Oryzias latipes: one gene and its partners. The protein of the gene in region 2 purifies or fractionates together with the protein of the main gene of each other region. This does not show direct contact. Links are inferred from orthologs where the notes say so. Each region holds a gene or a part of one and is shown on either strand. Other genes may lie near its edges.

Region 1 (3,650 bases), on a different chromosome or scaffold from region 2:
CAGAAGATGAACGTAATCTTTAGTGAAAACTGGACGTCTCATTTACATGAGGGGCTTTTAAAGTGAAAAAATGACAGCTGACAATGTTTTTGGTTAAATAAGGGCATCAAAGCCTGAAGTCTTTTGGAAATCAGAATGCAGTGTTTGGTACCAGATTCGCAGTGGGTGTAAATGAGAAGGACGGCTGCTGTGAAGCCTCTGTGGCTCCTTATCTCCACAGCGCTGCGTGCCTTCATTGTGGTTTGTTTCTGCACAGCCCTGCATGTCATCCAGTTGGTGTCTTGCTGTCATATTTTTATGCCCCGGCTTTGAAACAAGATGACTTTTCTTTTCCATCTCCAAACCTTGTAGAAGTGAAAGCAGCCCTTTCTGTTTCATATTGCTGTCAGGTCACGAACACACATCGGCGCTGCCTGACTTCCTTTCTGTGGTTTCCCTTACAGTTCCTGAGTCCAAGGTGTGGGAGGAGGAGTTTGACCTGAATTCGGTGCGGCTTTGCTTCCAGGCCAAGATCACGCTCCCCACAGGGGAGCTGTACCCTCTGGAGCCGGTCGTGTCACAGCCCATCTACGACAACAGTGAGTGGAAAACCAGTCTGCCCGCTTTGGAGCCGCAGTTTTTCCTGGGAAGACGTTCAGCAAAGCTCAGACATTTTAGCAAACCTCCGTCAGGAAGCAGAGGAAGAGAGGCCGGGTGGGCTCCACTCATGGGAAGCTTGATTGCTTGGGTAAACACTGTAAAGTCTTGCGATCTAATGATACTGTACTGGGTGCGTCATAAACAGCTTGAAACCGTCTGCGTCCACAGACGCTCTTTGTTCCTCTTTGGAGGAAAGATTTTTCTTATTTGCCTGAAATGATTTACAAGAATCATTCCTCAATAATTCTATATTATAGATATTATATAACAGTAAACTTTAACTAAACAGACTAAAATAAACTGGGCATCCCTGCCCTTAGACCCTTTAAAGACGCACTCTGATGAAAATTGGATTTTTGGTGTTTTTTACACGCTCTTGTGGTGTTTTTCTGACAAAAATTTAGCTTAAATTTGCATTTGTGGGTATTTCTGTTTTCCGAATCATTGTGAATCAAGAGCAGATGAAAAATGTAATTTGAAAAAGATCACATCTGCGAGCGTATCTGCATCCACTGTCAGACCAATAGAGGCGTGAACGTCTTCGTTTTTCTCGTCTGAGCTGGAATCTGGCTCCAAACTGTACGGCTGGATAGCTCCAATATTGCTCGCCATTTTTGTTGCACCGCTAATGCTAGGTTAAGCTAGCAGGTGAGAGTGTAAACAGATGGATCACGGGAAGTGAGGTCGTGCTTACTCCACAGCAACGGTTCTGCCCACAACTCAGAGGGGAATCTCTAATTAACTCCTACCGCTCTGCAGAAACTTTGTCCAAAAAACAGATGCTTTATTTTGTCTACAAACGGCAAACTCATAATTAGAGGACCACTGGGAACACTTTGAAAATAAATCAAAAGATGATTTGACCACCTTTGAAGAATTGACATTAATTTGCAAAACTCAAATTCTTCCCAAATGGACAACTTTAGACAATTCTTTATTTGAAAGTATCCGTCTTTCAATACTTTTGCTTCTTGCAGGGGCGCCAAACACAGCCGAGTTAAAGATCTGCAGAATCAACCGGAACTCTGGAACCTGCAAAGGAGGCGATGAAATCTTTCTGCTGTGTGACAAAGTGCAAAAAGGTGAGGCTTCCACCAAACAGACGTTACTGCAGATGCGTGAGGGGGCTCTGCAGCAGACGGGGTCGACAGACCATGTCCGCTGGCTCCTACTACAAAAGAATCTTTCAAAATAAAGTACCAAATGATCACATCAAGGTCTGTTTGTTTTTCCCAGTGACATGAGGGCTCTCATAACTTAGCATCAAACTTTTCTGATGCTGTGTTCCTCCGTGTCTTAACCCTTTGATGCCTGAATTTGTTACCAGCTGTGAAAACATTGGCTTAAGTTTTTGCTTTCGATGCTAAATTAAGGCAAGACTGGAGCAGAAGTGGTTTGATGCATATTTGCATTTTTAGGCGTCGAGGGGTTAAATGTGAAAGCGTGCAGATATAGACTAGTAAAACAGAAACTACATCCTTCTGCATTCTGGGAACACTCAACACAACCTCCTCCACGAACCTCCTCCTTGGTCTTCCTCTCTTTCCTGGTAGCTCCAACCTCAGCATCTTTTCGCCGACATCATCACTGTTCCTCCTCTCAACCTGTCCAAACCCTCTCCATCTGCTTCTCTGCATTGATCTCCACAACCAGGATCTGTTCCTCTGATGGTCATTCCAGATCCACCCGGACCACTCCAAAAGAGAACCTCAGCATCTTCATCTCTGCTGCCTCCAGCTCTGCCTCAGAGCCCCTTAACCAGATATCACCAAATGGCGGACCGCGGTCCACATCCGGACCAACAGACTCTTCTCTCCGGTGTAGATACAATAACTGTTCGGCCTACAACTACCGTTCGGGGTCCTTCCAGTCACACTACGGTGGCCCCACTTGGACAAACTATGTAGCATGGAGATCTGCTCGGGCTCTACATATTTTCATTTCACGTTTCTTTTTGCAACGTAAAGTTATTTTCCTTCATAAGTTCTGTCCTACATTATTGTTTGTAGTGTTTATAGAGAGATTTAGCCACAACCCACTTTGTAAGAAGATCTGTGGCTGTTAGAATGAACCTGCTGCTCCACAGAGTGAACCGTGTCTCTGATCAGAGCAGCCAGAGTCTTGTAGCTTCGTGTTCATAGGCGGGGAAGGTGCTTTGTTAGAGTGTTCGGTCCGGAGAAGGGTTCAGAACGCAGGCCGTTTGGCTACAAATGGACTTAATAATAATCAGAACAATAATAAAAGCACGTTTACAAGATAACCCCGCTCTGTGTCGGAGCTCTGTTTGCTTACTCTGGACTTCATAATGTCTTTTTCTATGGTAGTGTCATAATTTGTCCAGACCAATCACTATCTAAAACGTCATCGGACCAACGGACAGCCAATCACATAATGTGACCTCAGCACTACTCGAAGGACCCCTGACGGTTGTTGTAGGCCGAACGGTTATGGTACCTACACCGGCGGTCCACATCTGGACCCTCCTTGGCTCCATGATCACTTTAGCTGCAGATGACCCTCCCGATCTCCCATAGTATGTGTCACCTCCTCCCTAAAAGCCAAACAGCACTTTTCCTTTCTCAACTTCCACCTCTTGGTCCTCTGCCCTTGTTTTCTTTATCTTCCTCGCACCTCACAGCTTTGCAGGTACTGATGTCGTTCACGTTTCGTCAGCACAGGAATCTGTCGCCTTAAAGCCGTTGGTGCATCAGCACAGTTGGATCTTTGAAAATTCGCCTTTTCACGTGTGAGGAAAGCATTCAGGCGGCTTTTCAGACTGCTGCCCTACGGAAGCTGGTTTACCAGCGAAACTCCAGAGACGGCGGTGTCTTTCTGTGACCAGCTGGGATTTGTCAAAGCACCGCACACTCCTCAATTCTTTGGTGTTCTCCCATGTTCCCGTCTCCCTGCAGAGGACATCGAGGTGCGTTTCTTCCAGGACTCCTGGGAGGGGAAGGGCACCTTCTCCCAGGCGGACGTGCACAGGCAGGTGGCGATCGTCTTCCGCACGC
Region 2 (4,183 bases):
CCATGCCTTTGTTGTTCCCAGACTGAACTACTGTGACTCTGTACGACAGGGGTGGGCAATTCCAGGCCTCGAGGGCCGGTGTGTCTGCATGATTTCAAGATAGCCTTTCCCTACTCATGGCTGATTACCTGGTTCAGGTGTGTCCAGCCAATAATCTTGCCCTACTCATGACTGATTACCTGGTACAGGTGTGTCCAGCCAATTAGAACATGCCAGAGCAGGGTATGCTGGAAAACATGCAGGAATGCGGCCCTCAGTGCCCACCTCTGCTACGGGGTACTGACCAGTCTCTGCTGGTCTCCAGCTGGTCCAAAATTCCTCTACCCATCTTTTAGCAAGAACCAGCACATCACTCCAATACTGCGCTCTCTTCACTGTGTGACTGTATGGAGAAAATACATTAACATACACTAAGCAAATAAAATGGCATAATGCGAGCTTGTGTCCTTTGTGGGTTTCAAGTATAGTAATGACAGCAGACCTGGAGTATTTGGCAGTCTATCCCTATATGTGGTCTCTAAACACTATGGACCCTCACTGGTTTTTGTGTAAAAATGTTGTGTGCTCAGAAAATAATTTTGTACGTGAAACAGAAAAATACATGTAAACAAAACAATTTTATTTTTGAACCTTGTCGATTGGATTTGGTTGCCTGATTGGAAGACTTTCTGACCAATCAGCATCAACATCCCGTCTACATCTGTGATTGGCCGGCTTTTGTGGCACATTTGTGACACGGTTCCCTGCTTTCTTGGAGCAGAGAAGAGAGAGAGAGAAATTCTCTCGAGTTAAATTTTTAGTTTTAAAATTGAAATTGTTTTGTTAACTCCTATTTTTATGTTTCAAGTGCAAATAATTTTTAGAGCCCACCAAGTTATTAACATGTGGACACCCCTGAGATTTCTTCTTTTTTCCCCAGAATGCATTATTTTTAGGAGTTTTTCCCAAAAGGAAGGAGGGTCTAAGGGCAGAGACGCCCAGTTTAGTTTAGTTTGTTTAGTATTTTGCTATTGAATTCTGTGTATTCATGATCCTTTTGATTTTGTTTGCTTTACAATTACCGGTACGAAGCCCATTCAGACGACTGTTGTTGTGATTTTGGGCTATGGAAATAAAATTGAATTGAATTAACGTTTTACGATTTATCGGTGAGTGTTGCGCTGGGAATAATGACACAAAAACTACTCCATATAAATCTGGTTGATGTAGTACCAGCTCCAGCCGGATGACGGCGCTGTTCATCGTCACGGAGAGAACGGTGCGCGGGCGGACGTGCGCGCCATCCAGCCGTGTCTGCTTACAGCTCCAACATGGCGGCGTCTGTGTTCCCCGGCGTGCGGCTCCTCTCCATCGGAGACGCGAATGGAGACATACAGCGGCATTCGGAGCAGCAGCCGCTGCGGCTGGAGTTGAAGAGCTCGCCGGAAGCGGCCCTCATCAATCTCTCCAATGGTGAGTGTCTGTGGAAGCCGCGAGCCTCGGCCTCGGGAAATCTGCGCAGTGCTAACGCTCGCGCGGCTAACCATGCAGAGTTAGCCGCGCGAGCTATCCCACATAAAGAACGCGCTCAGCCCTCCGCGTGGACTGGGGCAGCCCCCACACTCCGGCGCTGTTCGGGTTGTGTTCGGCTCCGGCCGCGGTCGGCCGGGACTTTTCGCCCCCAGTGAGTGTTTAGAGTCGTGGGTCAACATCCAGCACGGAGCGTGCAGACGCTCGCGGGATCGTGAACGCGGCTCAGACAAAGCCGACGGCCTGTGTGTAACCGGCACGCGCACGTTTGCGGTGGATTAGTTTGGGTTTTTTCCCCCTCTAACGTCCTGCAGTCGTGCCCGCGCTGCCGGTAGGACTCACGGCGGCGTGTTTAGGTAGGTTTTCCCGCTGTGGCTGCGTGGGGGGCAGCGGTCACGCAGAACCGCCACGCGGAGGCAGTCCTGAGGTGAGGAACCGGACTTTCAGTCCAGTTTCCTGGGTTTGGGTGTTCGGAGGAGTTTCGGGGGGCCCCCCCCCCCCCCTTGCGTTCATCTTTGTTCTCATTGGAACAAAAGCGGGTTCCCGCCGCTGCGTCCCCCGGTGGAGTCCCCCCCCCCCCCGTTCCTGTTCCTCATCCTAGATGTGAGCATCGCAGATGTAAACAGAACCTGATCTAGAACCGGGTTTTCATCCGTTTTTGTGCAAAGGCCCACGTTTTCTTTGACTAAAATAGCAACTAAAAGATAAAGAAATAACTCTATCGTCTGTTTTAATCAGGAGCTCACCTGTATTTCTATTTTTACAACGAATCATTTTTCTACATTTAAACTGTAACTAATAAAAATCTTTCATTTATTTTATTATTTTTTAAAGTTTTTTAATTTTAGTAAAATGTGTCTTTTGGCCATTTAACCATATAATGTGTATTTGTTTTTTCAGTAAAGAGCCATGTTTTTTTTTGCATGTTAACAGTGCGACTTGTTTGGATTTTTACATCAACAACCACTAGAGGGCGCTGTAGGCGTGTATTAATATTTGCTACTGACAGCAGCGTAGAAGGAGCGTCCTTCAGTCCATGGAATTCTTCCAAAGCGACACAGAAAATGGCGAATTCTACGTTTTTTGTGATTTGTAGTGACATAACGGGTTCAGTTGATTTGCTAGCGTGTCTTTCTGGTTCTCTGAACAGTTGTTCATATGTTTTGCTAACATATCAGATTCCTCAGTGTTCTTAAAGCTAGACTAGCTTCAGCGTGTTATGGTAGTGACATTTACATTCAGTCTATTTTTGGATTACATATTCCATTAATATTATTTGCCTTTCGAGATGAAATGTCTTTTTTTGTTCCCGTATTTAGTTAAATACATTTCTCCCAAAAGTGCGACTTATATGTGACTCGTACGTGTTTTCTTTTCTTCTTCTTCTTTTGTTATGTACGTTTTTGGCTGCTGAGACTAACCGTCCAAAATAAACACAGCAGTCATATTTTAGTGTTTTTTAAGTGCTTGAAGTCTGACATGGAATTTGTTCTTCAATCCAGACAATAATATAAATCAATGGTCGTAAGATTGCAGGTTCGATTCCCGCCTTGCACCCCCATGAGTCGAAGTGTCCTTGGGCAGGACACTGAACCCGGCCTTGCCTCTGGTGGGAGGTTGGCACCAGTGTTCGGCAGCAGAGCCACCAGCAGTGTGTGAATGTGTGTGACTGTAAAGCTTTGGGCCTTGTAGGTAGAAAAGCGCTATAGTAGTATAGACCATCGACCATTTCACTGCAGTTTGATTTGAATAAAAGTCAATATAACTTAAATTATAATCCAAGTAAAACTGGTCTAAATTGGAGGTCAGCACCGAACATCAAAGGGCTCCATCTGATTGGTCAAATGCATGAATGGATTCATTTGATTAGCTAAATACTTCAAGCTGCCATAAGATTTTTTTAACACATTTAATGTAATAATTTATTGTAGGGAGCCGGTTTAGCTCGTGCTGGTTTGCGGCGCCTTCCTTCCGTGCAACCAGGGTTCGACTCCGGGCTGCTCCCTATTCCCTTCTCCACCTCCGTGCCGGTTCCAAGCCCGGTTTGAGAAGGTTGCGTCAGGAAGGGCATCCGGCGTAAAACATTGCCAAGTTTACCATGCGACTTGTTCGCCGTGGCGACCCCTGATGGGAGAAGCCGAAAGAGGAAGAAGATTGTAATAATTTATTGTGTTTTTCACCATCTTTTGCGATATGCATAATGCACAGCTGGATATCGCAGTAATAATACATTTATGATTTATTATGCAGGTTTACACAAAAGTAACTGACATGGATGAAGTTACTGATTTAAATGTGACATTTTTACTGAAAAAATGTTTACATTTCCAAACCTGTCTTCCTCTGATGGAAACCAACTTTACTTTAAATGGAACCTGTGTCTGACTCAGCCCCCAGCTTTAAGAAAAGCCCTCTGAGTGACTCCAACTGTGTTAGGGCGACTCTAGCGTCTGTTTTCTGTTGGTGGCAGATTTCCTTTAATGTTTGTCTGTTGATCAGCAGTTCGTCTGGGTTTTCTTACTGACTGGACTTTGTTTAAACCAAGACTTCTTGTTCAGTTTCTGCCCCCTGAGTCATCAGGCTGATTTAAAACTGCAGTCAAGGTGCATTTGACTGAAGATGCTGACTTACTGTGGAACTGTCTTTAAAGCAGACGGTGCTGAAGACGGGATGG
Region 3 (3,650 bases), on a different chromosome or scaffold from region 2:
CCTAAATGTTTAGATGTAAGATTATATTTTAGCTACACATCAAACGCAGCCGCATGCTTTGTCCATACAGACCCTTTACAGTGTGACAAATGTAAAACCATCTCAAATGTTTGTAGACGTGTGAAACCTTTAGTATAGAAAAAAGTTTTTCAAAGCAACGAAGACGTACTTTCCTATTATTTTTTTAGGAATGTTTGTCTTAACCAATTGAAATGCGTAGAAACACATTTCAGTCCAAAGCTGAAATCTGCTTTAATTGGGTTGACTGCGTCACCTGATCATTGTTTTTCTGGGTTTTGTTAGATGACATGGAGGATGACTCTGTAATGTCTGGTGGAAAGGTAAGAAAATTCAAAGATTTTATACAAACAGACTATAAGTGAAGGTAAGGCCAATGCACAAAAATCTATTACTTTAAAATTAGACACATACTACTACATTAGTGCCAAATTATAAATTTAAGCATTAAAGTAAAGTGTTTTGAATTTTTAAATTACTTCTGTTTATTTTATATCATAAAGGATAAATGTAAAACAAAAATCCACTTTGGCTTTGACACTCTTGTTAATTTTCTACCAAAGTTTACTGTATCATTAAGGATATTTAGAAACTTTATGTAATAATTTTAATAATTGTCTATTGACAGCCCAAAGTCCTGAAAAAGGTTTTGATATTAACTTCTTTAAGGGGGAAAAACATAATGAGAAGTATTTGAGGATAATTTGTTTCAAATATTTTCCTTTTAAAATATAAAGTTATTACCGGTAGTTAAAAAACAAAGAACATTTTAAAGAACAATACAAATGTTGATTTAATGGTCAAACATAAAATTCCTGATTCTAAATTACATTTTATTGTGCTTGAAATACAAACATTTGCTTCATAAGATTTTTTTAAGAGTTTGTAGCTTTTATGAAACACGTGGGAAATTAGTTTGAACAAAATCAAACTTTGTTCTGTTGGATCACAGATTTAATAGAACCTTTGAGGCCAGCCGTATTTTGTCTTTTAGTTTCTTATAATTGAGGTTTTTCTTGCAGGATGATGAGGAACAAAACAAAGGAGAAGTGAACCGAATGACAGATGCCAACGAGGATAATGTGACCGAACAGACTCATCACATCATCATTCCGAGCTACGGAGCTTGGTTTGATTACAACAGGTACGCTCTAAAAATGCTGCTACCAATAAACGTGTTAAACATTTCTGATGAGTGTGTTTGTCGGTTGCATTAAACAGTCTTTTTTTTTTCTCCTTAAGCATCCACGAGATTGAACGAAGAGCCCTGCCTGAGTTTTTTAACGGGAAAAACAAATCCAAAACTCCAGAAATGTGAGATTATATTTACAGACTCAGCCTCACTGTCAGATACATTTTTCTACATCACACTTTCTAAATCGCACTATAATGTGATTCTTCTCGACTTGTTGACAGATATTTGGCGTACCGGAACTTCATGATTGACACGTATCGGCTGAACCCCCAGGAGTACCTCACCTCCACTTCCTGCCGCAGGAACCTGACAGGAGATGTCTGCGCCATCATGAGGTGAAGAGGATTCAGGGCTTTTCTGCTTCTTTGATGCTCATGTTTTAATCCTGAAAAACAAACGAACAAAAATGATCAGAGAAATTGAATCTGTGAATTTCCCTGTGATGTTTTTAGGGTTCATGCCTTCCTGGAGCAGTGGGGTTTAGTCAACTACCAGGTGGACTCTGAAAGCCGCCCGCTCCCCATGGGCCCCCCACCCACACCTCACTTCACTGTCCTGGCTGACACCCCGTCCGGCCTCATGCCGCTTAACCACAGACCGCCAACGGTAAGCACAGCTCTGTTTAGGTGGGAGCAAAGTCACTTTTACTTTGAAGTACATGTATGATATCGACTTATTAATAATCGAGTTTAAAACTTGAGACATTTTCTTCTTAACATTGTCTGCGAGAAAATAATTACCGAAGCTATATATCTTATGAATTGTCAACACCAAATGCCGGCAGAGTTTGACATTATCACCAACAAAATGTTTTAAATATATATATCAGCTTTCATTCATGAAGAAGTCACTTGTTTTCAGTAAAGAAAAATTAACAGCTTAAAACCAAAGTACATTTTTATTTAAAAAGTGCTTTAATACCTTAGAGCTCTTGATAATTGTCGTAATATTTTCCCAACAGATTCCTCCTCAGCAGCCGATGCCTAATTTTGCAGATAAAAGCAAAGATAAACCCATCGACCTGCAGAACTTTGGCCTTCGTGCTGACCTCTACAGCAAGAAAAACACTAAGGTAAAGGTCCTGTTTGACATTTGCATGAGTTCTGCATGGAAACTATTGGAGATGCATATTCCTTAAACAAACGGCAATGTTGAACTTTGGTTTTCTGCAGTCTAAAGCAGGCATCGCCACCAGAGACTGGACTGAGCAGGAGACTCTTCTTCTCTTGGAGGCAAGTCTTATTTGTTTAGATATCGGCTTCTGTCAGTGGATCACAATTGTGTGTCTGTCTGCACTTGTCTTTATTTTTCTTCTGTGTTGCGACTTTATTTTTCACTCATCACAGGCCCTGGAGATGTTCAAAGACGACTGGAACAAAGTATCTGAGCATGTCGGTTCACGCACCCAAGACGAGTGTATCCTCCACTTTCTGCGGCTGCCTATCGAAGATCCCTACCTGGAGAACACAGAGGCGTCTCTGGGTCCGCTGGCTTATCAGCCCATACCCTTCAGCCAGTCTGGAAACCCTGTGATGAGCACCGTGGCGTTCCTGGCCTCTGTGGTTGATCCCAGAGTGGCCTCTGCTGCAGCCAAGGCAGCTTTAGGTAAAAAAAAAAAAAAAACTATGGAAACACGCAAGGACATTTAGAATTTCATGTCATGTTCTGTTTAACTTTACTGCATCAGTGCTACTTAAGACATTGAGACTGCAATAATTGTGGCATTTTTAAACGTAAGCGCTAAAGCAATACAAATCTAGATTTTATTTTTTTTAATCTGTTCCACTGCAAAATTAGAGGGGAAAAAATCCTCAAGGTTTTTAATTAATTAGATTTTTAGATTTAATTAGCATATTTAAAAAATAAATACTGAACTTGTTTTAGTTTTAGGATGAAATTGTTTCAAAGTATTGTTTTCCGTGCCAGTGTTGTTAATGGTGGACGTCGGCCCTGAACGAGCTGTGAAGATGCTTATTTTTATTATTATTTTTTAATATGGAAATGTCCTTGCTGCGTTTGCAGAGGAGTTTTCTCGCGTTCGTGAAGAGGTTCCAGCAGAGTTGGTGGAAGCTCATGTGAAGAAGGTGCAGGAGGCGGCGAGGAGTACAGGAAAGGTTGACCCCACCTTTGGCCTGGAGAGCAGCGGGATCGCTGGAACTGCTCCCGAGGAGCCAGAAAAGACTGGTGAGCAGCATTAAAGCAGACTTACATTGATGTCTTATGCAGGGCATTTTATATAAGGTTTATTCTTAAACATCAGACGGGTATGATGGCGCCTAAAGTGGGTCAGGTTGGAGGTTTTTCTTCTGACTTTTATATCAAATGCTCCACCTGAGGGCGACATGTTGACTGGAGGAGGTGGTTTGTGTGTGGAGATGCTGGCGTTCAGAGAAGTGAGGGAAAATGAGACTCTCAGACAAAGGTGATATCTCATATC

Evidence for each region.
Region 1: the proteins of carm1 (region 2) and putative transcription factor p65 homolog purify together in Homo sapiens (affinity purification with western blotting; 4 studies listed by BioGRID and IntAct, with this or other methods). This does not show direct contact. The link is inferred for Oryzias latipes from reciprocal best matches to the Homo sapiens genes CARM1 and RELA.
Region 3: the proteins of carm1 (region 2) and smarcc1 purify together in Homo sapiens (affinity purification with western blotting; 3 studies listed by BioGRID and IntAct, with this or other methods). This does not show direct contact. The link is inferred for Oryzias latipes from reciprocal best matches to the Homo sapiens genes CARM1 and SMARCC1.

Annotation. Positions count from the first base shown.
Region 1 is NC_019876.2:27,221,577-27,225,226, forward strand, and holds part of putative transcription factor p65 homolog, read left to right. Parts: intron 1-443; coding exon 444-578; intron 579-1,616; coding exon 1,617-1,721; intron 1,722-3,551; coding exon 3,552-3,650. UniProt on the Homo sapiens protein: NF-kappa-B is a pleiotropic transcription factor present in almost all cell types and is the endpoint of a series of signal transduction events that are initiated by a vast array of stimuli related to many biological processes such as inflammation, immunity, differentiation, cell growth, tumorigenesis and apoptosis.
Region 2 is NC_019866.2:25,178,306-25,182,488, reverse strand, and holds the start of carm1 (histone-arginine methyltransferase CARM1), read left to right. Parts: upstream 1-1,248; 5' UTR 1,249-1,310; coding exon 1,311-1,452; intron 1,453-4,183. UniProt on the Homo sapiens protein: Methylates (mono- and asymmetric dimethylation) the guanidino nitrogens of arginyl residues in several proteins involved in DNA packaging, transcription regulation, pre-mRNA splicing, and mRNA stability.
Region 3 is NC_019874.2:27,737,653-27,741,302, reverse strand, and holds part of smarcc1 (SWI/SNF complex subunit SMARCC1), read left to right. Parts: intron 1-303; coding exon 304-341; intron 342-1,040; coding exon 1,041-1,162; intron 1,163-1,260; coding exon 1,261-1,332; intron 1,333-1,434; coding exon 1,435-1,548; intron 1,549-1,665; coding exon 1,666-1,819; intron 1,820-2,174; coding exon 2,175-2,285; intron 2,286-2,385; coding exon 2,386-2,445; intron 2,446-2,559; coding exon 2,560-2,818; intron 2,819-3,235; coding exon 3,236-3,397; intron 3,398-3,650. UniProt on the Homo sapiens protein: Involved in transcriptional activation and repression of select genes by chromatin remodeling (alteration of DNA-nucleosome topology).